Rhinolophus ferrumequinum: one gene and its partner. The protein of the gene in region 2 purifies or fractionates together with the protein of the main gene of each other region. This does not show direct contact. Links are inferred from orthologs where the notes say so. Each region holds a gene or a part of one and is shown on either strand. Other genes may lie near its edges.

Region 1 (3,905 bases), on a different chromosome or scaffold from region 2:
AATGGAAAACGTATCCTGAGAAGTAGAATCAGGGTGTCCTGGGAAAGCTGGCACCATCCATGACCGGCTACAACAGGCTGGCAAGCCTCCTCCCCCTGCACGCCATCCTCCTTAGGGGTTGGGGGGTCCACTCCCATTGTGTCGGCCACCTTCCACTTCAACCTCAATGCATTCCTGGTCTGTGAGCCAGCTGGTCCTTTCTTTCCCTTCTTGCCCACGCTGACTTGAGGTCCCGTCTATTAGAGCCCGCCGGACTCTCCCATCACCGTCTGGGGCCACTCCTGACAGCTGAACACAGCTTTGTGTGTCACCAGTCCCGCCCACAGCATTGTTTTCTGTTATTCCTGCTTCCTGGAATGGAAATGGCTTCTCGGGTTCTGGTCTCCTGAGGGAGACGGAGGCTACAAGAGCTCAGCAGATACTGCATCCACTGATCAGAAGGAAGGGCATGAAGAGCAGAGAGCAGCGAAGGGCATGAAGAGCAGAGAGCAGCAGGGACCCAAACTCAAGTCCCAGGGAGGCTCATAAAAATGAAATGTCAATGGTTTATAGTCAGGTTTAATAATCTTCTCTAATTATCTCCTTCCGAGAAATTTACCCTTAGAAGTTATGCAAAACATATTTTAGGGCAAGGATTCCTGACTAGGAATGATTTGTGTCCCCAAGGGGACATTTGGCAATAACTGGACACAGTTTTGGTTGTCCCTAGTGGGGGAGGGGGTGCTACTAACATCTGATGGGGGAGGCCTGGGAGTCCAGTACAACACAACGTATAGGACAGAATCCAACAAAAAGAAAAAAAATGATAAATGCTTCATAATATAAAATAGCCCATTATTCGTGTATAAACACTATTCTTTTTAATAGACACAAACAAAGTAACACTGAATGTTAAAAACTCAAAATTACTTATATCATGGGGGTGGGTAACCACTGCAAAGTAGACATTTGGTGTCTATTACACCTGATGTTATATTTGAGATTGTTAGTTCAAAAAACTCTAATGCCAAATAAACTCCAGTTCAGCAGAAGGGACGGGGCAGTTCTGATTGATTCCCAACCAGAAACCACTCCTAATTAAACTGGGGCCCTATTTTATATTCCAGCACCCCACAGAATGGCAAGTTCATAGTTAAATATGTTTCTAATAAACTTCAACACTAACCTTTTTAAAAACAATTAAAAAGAAAAAATTCTGTGCAAAACAAAAGTCCGTGGATGTCCCCTGATTCAGCTAAGACCAGGCCTCTGTCTTAGCGATCCCCTCAAACTACGTAAAGAATTCCCATCAGGAAACATTCTCCTTTATTGTCTGGGGGGATGAAGGAAGGTAAGTGTTCATTAAGATTTATGACTCAGACTCCCCCACAGTGATAAAAGAGGTAGCCAAGAAAAGCCCCTCAGAATTTACTGCAAACATTCTTACCTACCGCAAAGAATCTTATCAAAGGAATGTTTTCAAGTTAAGCAAAGTTATTTCACAACTTCCAAAGTTGCTTAAGGAAGGATCAAGTCCCACTGTGCTTTTCCTTCTCTGTCCCTCTCCCTTCCTTCTTCAGCCGGGCCAGCCACACACCCAGCCGGGCAGTCCCAGGGGGCCGGTACTGTACCTCATTGCAAAGTCCTCAGGCGATGCGTTAACAATTACAGAGTGCCTTCTCGGTGAAAGTGGGTGGGTGTAGGCGTGGATGGTGGAGTGGGCCTATGCGTGCTGAGAGAGCGGGTGCGGCCCACACACTCTGACCTCTGAACCAACTCAGGGTCCCCTCTTGTGGGATCCCACAGCTCCCGAAGTGGGTAGTCTCCAAACTGCTCCTATTAGGAATCCACTCCTGGAATAACAGAAGTGGGACGACCCTGTCCCAGGTGGAGACTCCAGCTATGAATAACCCAAGAATAAAAGGATCTTTCCAAATGCTTCATCCTAGCTGCGCCCACTGCTCAGGAAGCAGTTGCAGCCGCGCCTTCGCTTCCCACTAAGTGCGGGGCGGCGCTCTCCCACACGCTTCCGCAGAGGCTCCAGAGGCAGCGCCTGCCCCACAGCGGCTCGCCGCGCAGTCGTGCTGGCCTAGGAGCCTCGGGTCGCTCCCAGGTGGGCGCGCACAGGTGTGCAGACTCCGGAGGCGCACAAGCGGGGACTGACCCCGGATGTGCAGAGATAGGTGCGCACAGAGAGATGCGGACTCGGGGACGCACACACAGGCGTGCAGGCGCGGGGACCGCTCCCAGGGCTGTAGCGTTGCGTGAGCAGAGTCGGGGCGCACACACAGCCGCGCACCTCATCCCTGCGGCGCAGCGAACGACAGGCTGGGAACCTCCACACCCGGGTTGGCGTCGCGCCTCACTAACTCACCTCCTCCAAAAATTTGGTCAAATCGTACACTTTGTGATGCAGGATCAGCCAGGTGCTCTTGCTATGGTTATGCTTCTGTATCTCTTCCAGGGTGTAGTACTTGACGGTCTTGTCCAACTGCTCGGCCATTTCGGAACGCGGCGAGCCTCAGGCCCTGCAGACACCAGCCGAGCCAGAAGGAGCACAGCGCGCGTCTCAACCAGCCAGGCCCGGGACATTCCCCGCGGCTCGGCCCCGCGCCGGGGGCAGGGCAGCCGACGCCACTGAGGGGACGGCCAGCGACGGCCTCTCATGATTGGCCGGAGTCCGTGTCACTCAAGTGGCCCGCCCTTGACCTACGCGCTCCACCAGCCCTGGGCGCCCCCCAGCAGAGCAGCTGTTGATTGGTTACAGAAGTTGCCCTCCAACGATCACGGCTGTTGGAATGCGTGGGGGGCGGGGAGAGGCGGGGCTTCCCTTGCGCCTGCGCAGAAGGCGGGTTGGTGGGGTGTGACCTGGGTGACAGGGTGACAGGGTGGGCAAGGCGGCGTGGCTGTCAAAGGAGGGTTCACAGGGGCCAGCGCAGAGTCCACTGTCCCGGGCAGCGACCGCACATCAAAAACGTCGTGGTTTTCCAATCAAGGCAGATCAGCCAGACCTGGAGGTTAATTTGTAACAAAGTCTTTCCTCTGTGAGTCTCAGGGATAAACTATTAGCGTGACGAGAGACATGAACGAGCCTCGTGGACGTTAAAACATGCAGTGCCGTCCCTTAGCCTCCGTGAAACAAGTGTACTGCCCAGAACAAACTGTAATTCTAATTTTGCTTGACTACCTCTTCCACCCCCCAGGACTGCCCAGTTCTCACAGGAGAAAAACAAACCCGGGAAAATTATTTGTTTATAAAAAGCGAAATGTTCTAATTATTTCTGTAACTGATGTACTCCGCTGTTACCCATTGGCTAGGCGAGTTCTTGTATTAGTGTCTTTCTTGGCTTGGCTCAACAGTATATTGTTAAGGTGAATCCTAAATGATTGACAGCACTTTGAGTCAACTCTGGAAGAGTACCTCCCCCGTGGGCACTCACGTGAAGGTTTACAAACACTCGAAGAGAAAACAAAACAGAAAAGTTGCAGCATATTAAAAAGTCATCTGATATTTATTAAGGCCCTTTTAGCAACGGTAGGTAATTCCACAAAGAGCTACACCACAGGCTGCACACCTAGGTCATCCTCCCAGGGACTGAGCACAGTTCTGTCACCATCGGTGCTTGTGAATGTCAGTTCCCCCATCCCCACCCCCACCCCTTCCCGCCTCTATATGAATGCATTCCTTTTGAGAAGAAAGCATTCCAAATATTCTTTAGCCTTTCACATGATGGAACACATTGATTTTCAAATACTAAACCAGCCTTGCACCTCCGAAATAAACCCCGCTCATATATCTTTAATACATTTTGATATATAAATGAAGTATATGTTGAGTTCTTGCATCTATAGTTATGAAATATTCATGTGTAATTTCTGTTTATACATTGTATTTGTCTGGTTTGGGTATCAGAGTAATACTGCTT
Region 2 (3,905 bases):
TCCCACCACCCTGGGTTATCATGAAGCAGAGCCAACTTCCCTTCGCTTCCCTTCGCTTCCCTCCACGAAGACTTGAGAACGCACCTCTATCAGAGAACCTTCGGAAATGGTTAATGTAATCACAATGCCACCACCAGACCTCCAGAAAATCAGTAAAAATCCCTCATTATCAGAGTCAGAATCCCAGCGCCTAACTGTTGCATTTTTTAATAGCTGCTTTGTTTGAATCCATACCAACAAGCTTCTGATTCTGCAATGAGTTGAGAACTTAAATCTCTCACTCTATAAGTTCCCCCTTCCCACACCCCCTTTTGTTTCCTTTCCCAATTTACTTTTTGCCGACAACAAGTTGTTTGCCCCACAAAGCTTCCCAGATTGCAGCTCCAAAGGGGCCTCTGTCTCTGCCATTTCCTCTGAACTGTGTGAGCTGTGAAGATTCAGCTCTGGCTTTTGGCGAGAATAGTCCTTAGGCAGTCCTTAGGATACTGCCGATTGCATCACATCAGGTGTCTGTATTTTTCACTAAAAACGGTTTTTAAAAGTAGCTGTGGAGACTCAGCCTTATTGATAACATTCTATTTTAAGTCAGAACAATGTGTTCATATATATTATATGTAATTAAAAATTAATTTCCAATTAACTTTTAACAGGCCCTCTGCTCACCGAAAGGGACTATTGCTTCACCCTTCACGGGCTGAGTAATGCTCATGAGGCTACTACACAATGCCAGCGCGACTAGTTAGGAGGACAGAAGTCACTAAATCAGCAACAACATGTCCCCGTGGTGCACGTCTTCCGGATCCCACACTGCCATGCCCTGAACCTCAGGGACCCAAGGGAAGGCAGGAGGGCATCATTCCCAGAACCGTAATCAGAGCTGGGTCTTCTCCCCTTTGGGGCATTCTCAAGACCAGGAGACAGGGTACACAGTAAAGGAACTCGGCAAGATGTGACAAAGCTGAATGGTGTGGAAGGTTGGCAGTGGTAAACACAACCCCTGCCACCCCCACCCCGACAGGTTCTACCTGTTTCTGTCTGGCCCCATTTCCAGGGTCCACCAACTTTGCACACATAAGCTACAGGGCTCTTACTTGCTTGCCTCCTTCCTCCACAGGCCATCCATACCTTTTGGGTGAAATGAAGGGGATGCAGAGAAGCAGCACAGCAAAGACCTCTGCATAGAGGAAGGTGGCAACTGCAGTCCACTGCAGACTCATCCTGTTGCTAGGTTTCCAACAGGGAGATGGGAGCTTGTTTCCTGACAGGGCACAGAAGGAACAGGAGTCATGAGAGCTGGAACGGCCATGCTACCCTGTACCCCAGCATTCGACTCCAGTCTTTAAAGCATTGGCTGAAACGGGCGCTTGATTCAGCAGGGAGACTTGACAATAGTGCTCAAATGCCCGACCAACTGCCACTTGAAGGGGCGGAGTGACTTTGCTACCCCCTAGTGTGTTAACGCTCCAGAGCCACCTTTTCTGGACCAATTCCTCTTTCCCCAAGACACTCCTTATGCCTGTTTAAGTGAGAACGCGTTTTTTAATAAAGAAGATGACACAGACAGAAGGGAAGATTATAGAGACAAGGAAATTCTCAACACCCATCAGGCCCGTTCCCCCCGCCCCCCCCCCAGCCACCGGGAGCTCTGCAGCAGAGGCTCCCAGCTCCTAGGCAGCCCAGAGGCGGCAGTATTTCAGCAACGCACTTTCTCTGAAAGCCGAGGCGCCCCCACCCCCCACCTGGGGAAAACAGGAGGCCCTTCCCTCCCAGCCCTTTCCAACAGAGCTGGAAAAACCCAGCGGCTCCCTCTGGGGCTAGAGCGGAGGCTAACAGGCCTTCCGACTGCCGCCGCGTCTGCCTCCGATGGGGCTGGAGGACTAGAAGTACCTCAAAAAAGCCCAGAAGAGCGACTCCTAGAGGGCGGGAATCGGGGCCAAGAGCAAATGCAGGTCTCCACTAAGCACCTCACGGACTCATCTAGAGAAAGTTCTAGAAGAAGCTGTCCTCAGAAGCCAGAAGAGCTCCTCCTGGCAGCCCTGGTCAGCCACAGTGCCCACCTGCCTCGGGAACCGCCGCGCGCGACCCCCCTACATGGCCCTGGCCCGGCACGCCCTCCCCAAGTCCCATCCCGGCGACTCCTCCGGAGGGGCTTCGCCACCGCCCCCCGCGGCCGGCCCTGACACCGCCAAAGCCCAGCTCCGCCCGCCGCCACTCCGACTTTCCCGAACCCGCCCCTGCCTCCGCACTCCCGGCTCGGCCTCCAGCCCTGCGCCCCCGGGCCTCTCGGGGCTCCCCGCCGCTTTCCATCGTCGAGGGGATGGGAGACACCGGCGACCCCGGAGACCACCCAGGCGCGCGGCCCAGCTCACCGAGCTTCCCACAGACACCTCGCACGCCTAGCCGCTGCCGCCAAACTCTCCTACTCGGGCCTTGGCCCCACCCCTTCCCCCGCAGCCGGAAACCGGAAGCGCTCGCACGGCCTTGCCCCTTCCCCAACCCAAGAGAGGACCCGAAGGTTCCGCCCACGGCCGCTTTCCACCCCGCCTCCCCGAGCCGAGGCGCCAACGCCCAGGACTGGAGAAGAAGCGCGCAGGGAGAGGGGCGGGGCCTTGGCGGGAACACGAGGGGCCGCTTCTCTAGCCCGCGCGGTCCTCCCAAGTCTCTGTGGTCTGGGAAGGGGGCGGGGCCCGACCGTGGGGCAAGAACGGGGTGGGAAGCCTTGCACCCGAGCTCCGCCTCCCGCCCCTCCTCCGCCTCCTCCCCTTCCCCCGACTCGGCCCTGGGGAGGGGTGGGTGGGTGGGGATTCTGGGCGGGTGGCGGAATCACTGTCGCTTCAGCCAGGCTTCGGAGAGGACGTACGCGCCTGGTGCCCCGGGGAGGGGCGCCACCAGGGGAGGAGGAGGAGGAGGTGGAGAGGAAGAGACGCCCTCTTTGCCCGAGCCCTCTCGAGGCTCTGACCCTAAGGGCTAGGAGACTGACAAGTTCCTCCACCTCGTCTGTCCGAAGAGGCCGCGACCCTGGAGGGATCTGAGCACCAGGGGCGCCCCAGTGGCCTAGAGCTACAGTCTCAGGGACCACTGCAAGGTTTCCAGTTGCCTAGATAACGAGCCGAGGTCAGAGCAACAACTCTTCTAGCCACCTGCCTGGACTGCTGGCTCAGGCACCAGTCCCAGCCCCGTGCGTCCAGCCCAGGTGACATGCCGGTGCTCTCCACCCCCCGGGCCTCGCGGGTGACCACGCTGAAGCGCACAGCTGTGGTCCTGGCCCTCACAGCCTATGGAGCCCACAAAATCTACCCCCTGGTGCGGCAGTGCCTGGCTCCGGCCAGGGCCCCTCAGGTGCCTGCACGGGAGTCCACACAGGAGGCCTCTGGGGCCACAGTGGCCGCAGCAACCAAGGCCGGTGTGAACCGGGTGTTCTTGCAGCGACTCTTGTGGCTCCTGAGGCTGCTCTTCCCCAGGATCTTGTGCCGGGAGACGGGGCTGCTGGCGCTGCATTCGGCCGCCCTGGTGAGCCGGACTTTCCTGTCAGTATATGTGGCCCGCCTGGATGGACGGCTGGCCCGCTGCATCGTACGAAAGGACCCTCGGGCCTTTGGCTGGCAGCTCCTGCAATGGATCCTCATTGCCCTCCCAGCCACCTTCATCAACAGCGCCATCCGCTACCTTGAGGGCCAGCTGGCGCTGTCTTTCCGCAGCCGTCTAGTGGCCCATGCCTACAGCCTCTACTTCTCCCAGCAGACCTACTATAGAGTCAGCAACATGGACGGGCGGCTCCGCAACCCTGACCAGTCCCTGACGGAAGATGTGGTGGCCTTTGCTGCCTCTGTGGCCCACCTCTACTCCAACCTGACCAAGCCGCTCCTGGATGTGGCCGTGACCGCCTACACCCTTCTTCAAACGGC

The links.
Region 1: the proteins of BCAP31 (region 2) and cytochrome b5 purify together in Homo sapiens (co-immunoprecipitation; 4 studies listed by BioGRID and IntAct, with this or other methods). This does not show direct contact. The link is inferred for Rhinolophus ferrumequinum from reciprocal best matches to the Homo sapiens genes BCAP31 and CYB5A.

Annotation. Positions count from the first base shown.
Region 1 is NC_046302.1:56,994,517-56,998,421, forward strand, and holds the start of cytochrome b5, read right to left. Parts: upstream 2,598-3,905; 5' UTR 2,483-2,597; coding exon 2,354-2,482; intron 1-2,353.
Region 2 is NC_046284.1:6,695,450-6,699,354, reverse strand, and holds the start of BCAP31 (B-cell receptor-associated protein 31), read right to left. Parts: upstream 2,521-3,905; 5' UTR 2,370-2,520; intron 1,259-2,369; 5' UTR 1,218-1,258; coding exon 1,126-1,217; intron 1-1,125. Other genes in the region: ABCD1 (ATP-binding cassette sub-family D member 1), read left to right, coding at 3,199-3,905. UniProt on the Homo sapiens protein: Functions as a chaperone protein. Is one of the most abundant endoplasmic reticulum (ER) proteins.